Arabidopsis thaliana: one gene and its partner. The protein of the gene in region 1 interacts with the protein of each later gene in a biochemical or structural test. Each region holds a gene or a part of one and is shown in the gene's direction. Other genes may lie near its edges.

Region 1 (4,540 bases):
TTTGGGTCCAAGAGGACCGTTAATGGCATTTAATTAGGTTTTGTCGGTAACAAAAGAAGAAATAATCAAAAGAGAACAACGTTTTTTAATTTAATTAGAAGTAAGAGGCTACCCATAACTTATAACTGCGATCGTGGAAAATGTAAACGAAGTATAGGATGATGAAATTGAAAATTTGGGTCACCCACCCATATCGCAGGGGCAAAGAAGAAGAACTTTAAAAAGATGCTTCGTCATCAAGTCAAACTAATAAGTTTAACCGAGAAAAATGTGAAGAATCAAATCCTGATAGCCGGTTGTTCCGTCGTCGGTCGAATGATCTAAATAATGTAATTGTCTAACAGAGATTGATTTTATCGTGTCGGCATGCTCAGTTCTGCCTAAAACACAAGAGCATTAATGCATTTTATTATACGAAACAAAGGCAAGCAAAATAATGTCAAAACAAATATTAAAGACTGTTGATTATAAGAATATATCCGAATAACGACTTATTTTGAAGCGTTGGTTCCAGATAACTCTTACTCTACTCTTTATATCAATTGTCAATACAAAGCAATGAAAAAACTATTTAGGCAACGAAGCAGACGACTAAAAACAAAAGAGTTCTAATCAAACAAAAAATAAACTCCAAAGCCAACCAGAGAGAGCAGTATAGCAATGTAAAACATAAATAAAACAAATATGTTACTGAAAAATCATGTTTTCTGATACTTGAAAAAAAGAAAGATCAAATCATATAAAAATCATTTTTAACTTTTTATTATTTATATATAGAGCTGTCTCCACATAATTACTATTATTCCAAAAATAATTGTTCAAATTTTATGTAAACAAACGTCATCAAACTATTCCATGAATAAAATTGTTCAAATTATGTCTATTCGCTTACGTTAAATATGTAACAATATGTTACATGTATGATACATCAGAAACGAAACGACGACAACAATCTCGTGGTAACAATGTAAATGATAGTGAATTAGTGATGAGGAGCCAACTATAAAGATTTATCATATCGTGGAAAATACTTTAATAAGAAATTGTATGCTAATGTTTATGTATAATTTCTGAAAATAATTAACAAAAATAAAAGGAGATATTTTTTTAAATAACAAAGTGATTTTGAAAAATAAAGAGAGGATAATACCATTTTGGCAAAATTGTATATTGTGATATTCATGAAGACCATAAACAAAATTATCCTCGAACGAGATGCCATATCATCAAAGTCGAGAAACGATGGGTTAGAGATTTGTAGTTTTGTTGATCGTGTGATGTTGCCAAACTACGGGTTCGAAAGTCTTAAAGACCTTTATAAAGGAAATGCGTCGAGTATTTTGCTCGAGAGCCTCGGTTGGGTCAGTGTCAACATGTTGAGTGATAAGCTCGAGGACATTAGTATCTATGAAAGTGGAAATGGTTATGAAGTACATGTATGAGGGTATTGGTTACAGGGATATGAAAGACCCATGTGCGTTATATGGTTATAGTATTCATATATCAATAGTAAAGCGACATCACGTGATATTTTTTCTTAATGTATCAAAATTCCACCAATTTCTATTTTCATTTTTGATTAATAAATACATTTCACTTTGATAGTATTTAGTAAATATTGATGAATAATCAACAGAAACAAGGCCGTACGAGAAAAGTTGTATACTCTCACTATTATATTTTATTTTACGACACAACAAAATGGAAAATCTTAAGTCAAAACGGGTGGCAAAAATGTGTAAAAAGAGAGGAAGAATCAATCAATTAAAAGACACAAAGCAGACAGTAGACACTCTTGTCTTCACCACCGCCACGATCGCGACCAAATGGCTCTCTTTATATTTTATCACAATTTTCTTATCCGTTTGTTACAATCTCTCTTTGAAAAGTCAAACCTTTTCATACGTCTCACGTGTTCTTTTTTCTTCACCCAACTCATCAGCGAAAATAAAAGGTCAAATCTATGTTCCTCGTTCGTTCCTTCTATGAGTAAATAATACTAATAAACTTTATTAAATAGGGGCAGATTTTTTCTTTTTTTAGCATATAGTTATAGGGACAGCTTTACAAAGAGTGTGTAATAACTAATAATATTTGTATTTTCCGTGTTTTGACTTTTTTAATAATTGTGAATTTTTGACATCTCCTTTATATTTAAACCCAACCTCCTTTCTCTCTTCCTCCTAACTTATTCAAACCAATTCACATCTTCCCAAACCCAACTACTACAACTTGTATTAAGAAAAAGATATATTCCCTTAGCTTCTTTGATCAATATATTCGTCAGGGTTCTCGTCAAAGTCCTCAGCATCTTCATCATATGTCCGGAGGAATAATGGATGAAGAGATCGAGATTCCTCCGTTCTTCCTTTGTCCTATCTCTTTGGAGATCATGAAAGATCCAGTGATAGTCTCTACCGGAATAACCTACGACAGAGACAGCATCGAGAAATGGCTATTTGCAGGCAAGAAAAACTCGTGTCCGGTCACCAAACAAGACATAACCGACGCGGATCTCACCCCGAATCACACTCTACGCCGTCTCATCCAATCTTGGTGCACCCTAAACGCCTCCTACGGCGTCGAGAGGATCCCTACCCCAAGACCTCCGATTTGTAAATCTGAGATCGAAAAGCTCATTAGAGATTCAGCCTCTTCCCATGAAAACCAAGTCAAGTGTCTCAAACGACTTCGTCAGATTGTGTCGGAGAACGCGACCAACAAGCGGTGTTTAGAGGCAGCGGGAGTACCGGAGTTCTTGGCCAACATCGTAAGCAACGACTCAGAAAATGGGAGTTTGACCGACGAAGCCCTCAACTTACTTTACCACCTCGAGACCTCAGAGACAGTCCTCAAGAATCTTTTAAACAACAAGAAAGATAACAATATCGTAAAGTCGTTGACGAAGATCATGCAGCGTGGGATGTACGAGTCCAGAGTCTATGCCACTTTGCTTCTCAAGAACATTCTCGAAGTAGCGGATCCAATGCAGAGTATGACTCTCAAGCCAGAGGTTTTCACTGAGGTCGTCCAGATCTTGGACGACCGGATCTCGCAGAAGGCGACCAAAGCTGCCATGCATATATTGGTGAACATATGCCCATGGGGAAGGAACAGACACAAGGCCGTGGAAGCTGGAGTAATCTCTGTGATCATCGAGCTTCTCATGGACGAGAGCTTCACATCAGAGAGGAGAGGTCCAGAGATGGCGATGGTGGTTCTTGATCTGTTGTGTCAGTGTGCGGAGGGACGAGCCGAGTTCTTGAACCACGGAGCAGCCATAGCGGTGGTGTGCAAGAAGATACTTAGGGTTTCACAGACAGCAAGCGATAGAGCGGTTAGGGTTTTGTTGTCGGTGGGAAGGTTCTGCGCAACGCCTGCTTTGTTGCACGAGATGTTACAGTTGGGGGTTGTAGCGAAGCTTTGTCTTGTGCTTCAAGTAAGCTGTGGAGGTAAGACCAAAGAGAAGGCAAAGGAGTTGCTTAAGTTGCACGCTAGGGTCTGGAAGGACTCGCCTTGTCTCCCAAAAAACATGATTCTTGCATATCCCTGCTGATGAAAACGAAGAAAACAATACAAACAAGTCCAATTCTCAGTGAGAGCAATCACATATATGAGAGATGCTGTTGAAAAAACTAAAGGAGTATTCAATTATTCATATCATTAATCCAATTTTCCTTAGGTTTCTTATTTCGTACTTTTGATGTTCTCAATGTAGATAATAGTGGAAAATGTTCATCAAATATTTTTTTTTATGAAAAACTGCAAAGATATCATATATAAAATCACAAGTTACCAGGCTATTGTCACTTTCATTTTCATTATTTTGGTAACGCTTTTATTTTTAAGTTTTTTTCTTCAATTTATGTATCCTCTTAATCTCCACTATAATCCAAGTAAAGGAGTATATATATATATATATCATTTAATTTCATCATCTCTTATTTGAACGAGTAAATGTGTAAGTTTTCTCCTAAAATATTTTTCTTTCTTTTGGTTTGTAGGATTATTTTGTAACATTCAATTAGACAAAATTCTTTTCTTCCAAGTTCTTATTTAATCCGATGCACGTTACCTCGTATTTTATTGCAAGAATCTTTGTATAATTTTTAACAATTGGGGCACATGGTCTTTATATATATATTGGCATATTGCAAAGCAAAAATTTTATACTAGCGAGGGTACCCAAAAACAAAATAAAAAGAAAATCTTTAGTCTAGATCGCATCTAGTTGAAATTTCATTCCTCCAAATTACAATATTAATTGCCATTCTTATAAAACACATAGAGATCAGTGTGTTATACTTTTGCATCACATGTAATGACTCATATTCTCATTGACCAGCGAAATTAGAAACGTCGAAGTACTACAGGACGCAGTCGAGAGAGTGAAGACAAATATTTATGAAAGAGATATATAGAATACAAAGAAAGCCACCTAAAAAGAAATATAAACAAAAAAAGTTGACACAGAAGAAAAATTAGGAGCAGGCCAGTATAGAACCACACCACCCGGAAATATAGTTTATATCTTTTAAAC
Region 2 (5,128 bases), on another chromosome or scaffold:
TGCAGATCAAGAATGTTCGCATCTTTGCTTCTTCTATTTTTTTTCTTGGCGAAATCAGAAGAAGTACAATCCAATTCATCTGTACATGATTTTCTTGTATTAGCTTGTTGATGATACAACACTTGAAAGATGTTATTATAGATTAAGGTTTCTTAAAGAGAAAAGTTATATATGTTCAACCTCTACTCTTCAAAATAACAGATTCAGCTGAAGACATTTGTTTCTAGTCAATTTGTTTTTGGAATTTTTCTTAATTCAAAGAAAATTGTGCAAAAGCTTTCATGTGCGGCTCAGATTAATTAGTCATTTACTACTAATAAAACTTTCACTTTGGGGTCTAGTAGATAATTCTCCACCCCCATTGAATCTTTTTAGTGGAGGTCTAAACATACATAAGATTCTATAGATTGACATTTGGGAAACCATCCTCATACAAAAAAGACCTAAACGGAATCTATGAAGAATTATTAACAGAAAAGAAAAACAGATGGCAATGAGAAAAGATCGGGTTCAAGGAAAACACAGCCGTACAAAACTCAAGAACAAAAACACCAAAAATAAACAAAAAAACTTCCAAAAATAGATATAGAATCACATGGTTTTGTTGTTTTGTCTATTTGTTCTCTATAAAAGGAGATATTTGGTTGGATCTATCATAGCGTCTCCTCTCAACCAAAGCTTACAATTTGTTCTCCCTTAAAAACTAAATTTTACAAATAAACTCTCAAATCCAAGAGAGGAGAAGACCGAAGTAAAAACACAAGAAAAAAAAGGATTAAGGCATAATGGCCAAATTCTTCATTGTCTTCCTTGCCTCTGCCCTATGTTTCACCACCCTCGTTCACTTCACCGCAGCTGATGCCGACGACTTTGACAAATTCCACATCAAGGGCTCCGTCTACTGCGACACATGCCGTGTCCAATTCATCACCCGTATCAGCAAATTTCTCGAGGGTAATTAACCACATTCTCTAATCAAATTCATTTGTTGAGCATACTGTCAATAGCAAAATATATTGGTTGATAAAAAATCGATCCCATTATGGTATATAGGTCAATGGTTAGAATTGTGTAGTAAAAATTCACAAAAATGATTACAAGCATATATAGACGTCTTTTTAACAATGTTAAAATTTTATAAAAATGTGGTTAGTCACATTTCTAAGAGTTAGTGTTGCAAGATTATAAGAAAAACTAATTACGTTATTGTGTGTATATCAGGGGCAAAGGTAAAGCTTGAGTGCAAGGGTCGTGAGAACCAGACAGTGACCCTAACCAAAGAAGCCGTGACCGACAACGCCGGTAACTACCAGATGGAAGTAATGGGTGACCACGAAGAGGAAGTGTGCGAGATCGTCCTCCTCCAATCACCTGACCCAGAGTGTGGAGACGTGAACAACCAAGAATTCCTAAGAAACGCAGCCAGAATCAGTCTCACGGCCAATGATGGCATTGTCTCCAACGAGACTCGAACCATTAACCCACTTGGGTTCATGAGGAAGACTCCTCTCGCTGAATGCCCTCAAGTTTTCAAGGAGCTTGGAATCGTCCCTGACGTCACCTTCTAAGCTTAATATACATATATACACACCCATATACATCGATCTCTCAAAGTCTCAACACTTTCAATTTTTTTGATGACTCTTTTTAATATATAAAACATTTATTTATGTTTTTTATGTGTCTGTCTGAGTTTACTAATTAACCATGTTTTTTTTTCGTTGTTATTGTTTTATTTTTGGGAGTTCTTTTTTACGAATGATTTGATTACCTTCCAATATTTATTTGTTACTTTTCGATTGAACAGATACATGCATGATGTAGTGAAAAACCCTACTCTAAAATAAATTTAAATCATTTACATGCATAGTGAAATTTATGACAGTTTGAGAAAGCTACATATGTAACATATAATGTGAATTATAGTTTGAGGTAAATGACTCAAACTGAAATAAGCAAAAGACAACAAATAAAATCGAACCCTTACCTAAAGAAGGCGGATCAGAGTTTTGTATATATTGGGCCTTTAGTCTGAGCCACTAGGCCTGAATCACAAAACGCGTTTTCACGACAAGCGTTTGCACCAGGATCTTTTGCAGCGTCTGGCGTTGGTTTTCAAACTCTGAATCCGAAACGCTAGATTTTAAGACGCCGAATTTGTTAAGCGTTCTCTATTTCCTGATTTCAGCATCTAAAGACAAATATACCCTTCAAAAAATTGTAAAACTACGAGAAGACTGTCCATTTATCTTTTCTTTCAAGCCAAAAAAAACTCTCGAATCTTCTTCTTCTTATTTCTTCTATACCGTCGTCGAAAAGCTTTACCAAAATCTCACGCCCCCGACGATTCATCGGTAAGTCTTGTTCTTGCGAAATTTCATTAATTCTTCTTCTGGGTTTGCTTATCAGATCTGCTTAATTCTGGGTTTTGGTATGCGTATTGTTTTCGATGTTTTAAAAAACCACATCTGGTTCCTTGTCTCGATAGTTCTAGGGTTTAGCTTTCTTCGATTTAGTTGATCTCAGTGAAGATGGGCCCGAGGATGTTCTAATTCTGATTGAAAGAAGCTGAATACAAAATTAAATAGATCTTAAAAGTATTTGAGTCGAAGAATTCGAACTGAATAAGTTAGTAATTACTGAACTATGTCTCTGTGATTCATCTTATTACTTAAAAATTAGGTTATAGTTTCATAGGCTTTGTAATTCAGTTCCTGTATTACTTATTGTAGCCTCGTTGTATCTTTGTCTTTGATAGATCTCTAGGCTTGTCTTGATCATTAGGTACAGAAGAGTTGATAAATTACAGTGATAAATTACCATCGTGGCTTGTCTTTATCTGATTATCTTGGTAATGTATCGAAGATGGATTTGTTTTTGTAGTGATGTGAAACCTAAAGAGTATCAATAAGCTTGAAAGGAGAAATATTTGAACATTGCATTAACAGGTCTATGGCTTTATTGTTGCAGGGATTTGAGTTTGCACTAAACCCACAATGGTTTCCTATCGTGCTACCACAGAGACGATTTCCCTGGCTTTAGAAGCCAACAGCTCGGAGGCTATTACGATACTGTACCAGGTTTTGGAAGACCCTTCTTCATCTCCTGAGGCTATACGGATCAAGGAGCAAGCGATTACAAACCTTTGTGATCGATTGACTGAAGAGAAGAGAGGTGAGGATCTCCGGAAACTGTTGACCAAGTTGAGGCCTTTCTTTTCCTTAATCCCCAAGGCGAAAACTGCGAAAATCGTCAGAGGAATCATTGATGCTGTGGCAAAGATTCCTGGAACAACTGATCTCCAGATCACTCTCTGCAAAGAGATGGTCGAATGGACCCGCGCTGAGAAGCGTACTTTCCTCAGGCAGCGAGTAGAGGCTAGGCTTGCAGCTCTTTTGATGGAGAACAAGGAGTATGTTGAAGCTTTGGCGTTGTTGAGTACTTTGGTAAAAGAGGTTAGGAGATTAGATGATAAGCTCCTTCTGGTCGACATAGACTTGCTGGAGAGCAAACTTCACTTCTCATTGAGAAACTTACCCAAGGCAAAAGCTGCACTCACTGCAGCTAGGACAGCTGCTAACGCTATATATGTCCCACCAGCTCAACAAGGCACGATAGATCTGCAGAGTGGGATTCTTCATGCTGAAGAGAAAGACTACAAAACCGGATACAGTTACTTCTTTGAAGCCTTTGAGTCCTTCAACGCTCTCGGAGATCCGAGAGCGGTTTTCAGTTTGAAGTACATGTTACTGTGCAAGATCATGGTTAGCCAAGCTGATGATGTTGCAGGAATAATCTCCTCAAAGGCTGGACTACAGTACGTTGGCCCTGACCTGGATGCCATGAAAGCAGTCGCTGATGCTCACTCGAAGAGGTCCTTGAAGTTGTTTGAGAACGCACTCCGTGACTACAAAGCACAGCTTGAAGATGACCCAATTGTCCACAGGCATCTCTCTTCTCTCTATGACACGCTTCTGGAGCAAAATCTGTGTCGTTTGATCGAGCCCTTCTCAAGAGTTGAGATAGCTCACATTGCTGAGCTCATTGGATTGCCGCTCGACCATGTGGAAAAGAAGCTATCTCAGATGATACTCGACAAGAAATTTGCAGGTACCTTGGATCAAGGAGCTGGATGCCTCATCATCTTCGAAGACCCAAAGGCAGATGCTATCTACTCGGCTACCCTCGAAACCATTGCAAACATGGGGAAGGTCGTCGACAGCCTTTATGTCCGGTCTGCCAAAATCATGTCCTGAGAGAGTGAGTGAGTTGGTCGTATGAATCTCATTCTATCGTTCTTTCTTTCTGGTTTTAGATATCGTTTGGACTCAAAGAAACTGATGTTTCTCAATGGAGAAAGTAAACTTGTCTGAATTGTTCACATTACTCGTTTTGCTTATGATCTTATTATGTCATGGTTTCTTACCTTTTATTAGTGCTTAAAATGTAGTTTGTTTTCATCTGGTTGTTGCAGTTTCTTTTTCTTAGCCTCGCAAGTCAACATTGTGTTCTCTTTTTCCAAAACCTTTAATCTTTACCTCATCCAAATCTCATTGATTTTTCTATCTCCGCATTTATAAATTCTGACCAACCCAGAACTCAATTCACAGGACCCACCATTTCTTTTCTCAACTCAGGACATGACTTGCACACAAGCAAGTCTTGATTTTGTTCTCTTCTTCTGTCATATTCTTTTATGTGCTGCTTCATCACAGTAGCTTTTCTAGTTAGCTTCGTGATTATTGATGAAGTAAACAAATTCTGTTAAAACGTTTATTTTAAATGTTAACACTAAAATGTGACATACTACAGTCATCCACAAAAATGTTGATAAGGCATATATTTTCACAAATCATAATATTTCGTTAAGATTTAAGACATTTTTTTGGCTGTTTGAAAAGGTTATTTATCATTAGTGGTTTACTGGTCTTTTATTGGAAGGACAAACATTTAGAGTGTTCCAATATTTGTTCAATTTCTTCTTCATAAACAGTAAAAACCTTATTCTAGTTATGTAGGTATCCCATTATTGTGTGATTGTCAGTTTATAGCTGAAAAGTGAAAACTTAAATGTCCAATTGAATGAGGTTTCTTCTTGGTTGAAAGATTAACTAGACTAATGTCCATA

What was found. Proteins that work in one complex are often made in the same cells at the same time.
Region 2: the proteins of PUB23 (region 1) and ATS9 form a complex in vitro, tested with the Arabidopsis thaliana proteins (one study listed by BioGRID).

Annotation. Positions count from the first base shown.
Region 1 is NC_003071.7:15,082,117-15,086,656, reverse strand, and holds PUB23 (plant U-box 23), read left to right. Parts: upstream 1-2,097; 5' UTR 2,098-2,316; coding exon of another isoform or gene 2,317-2,320; coding exon 2,321-3,556; 3' UTR 3,557-3,802; downstream 3,803-4,540. Other genes in the region: AT2G35935 (uncharacterized protein), read right to left, coding at 2,317-2,427, 2,950-3,168. UniProt on the Arabidopsis thaliana protein: E3 ubiquitin-protein ligase that negatively regulates water stress response. May control in coordination with PUB23 a drought signaling pathway by ubiquitinating cytosolic RPN12a.
Region 2 is NC_003070.9:10,178,244-10,183,371, forward strand, and holds ATS9 (non-ATPase subunit 9), read left to right. Parts: upstream 1-2,058; 5' UTR 2,059-2,354; intron 2,355-2,355; exon of another isoform or gene 2,356-2,628; intron 2,629-2,970; 5' UTR 2,971-2,996; coding exon 2,997-4,256; 3' UTR 4,257-4,545; downstream 4,546-5,128. Other genes in the region: AT1G29140 (Pollen Ole e 1 allergen and extensin family protein), read left to right, coding at 786-954, 1,222-1,568. UniProt on the Arabidopsis thaliana protein: Component of the lid subcomplex of the 26S proteasome, a multiprotein complex involved in the ATP-dependent degradation of ubiquitinated proteins. In the complex, RPN6A is required for proteasome assembly.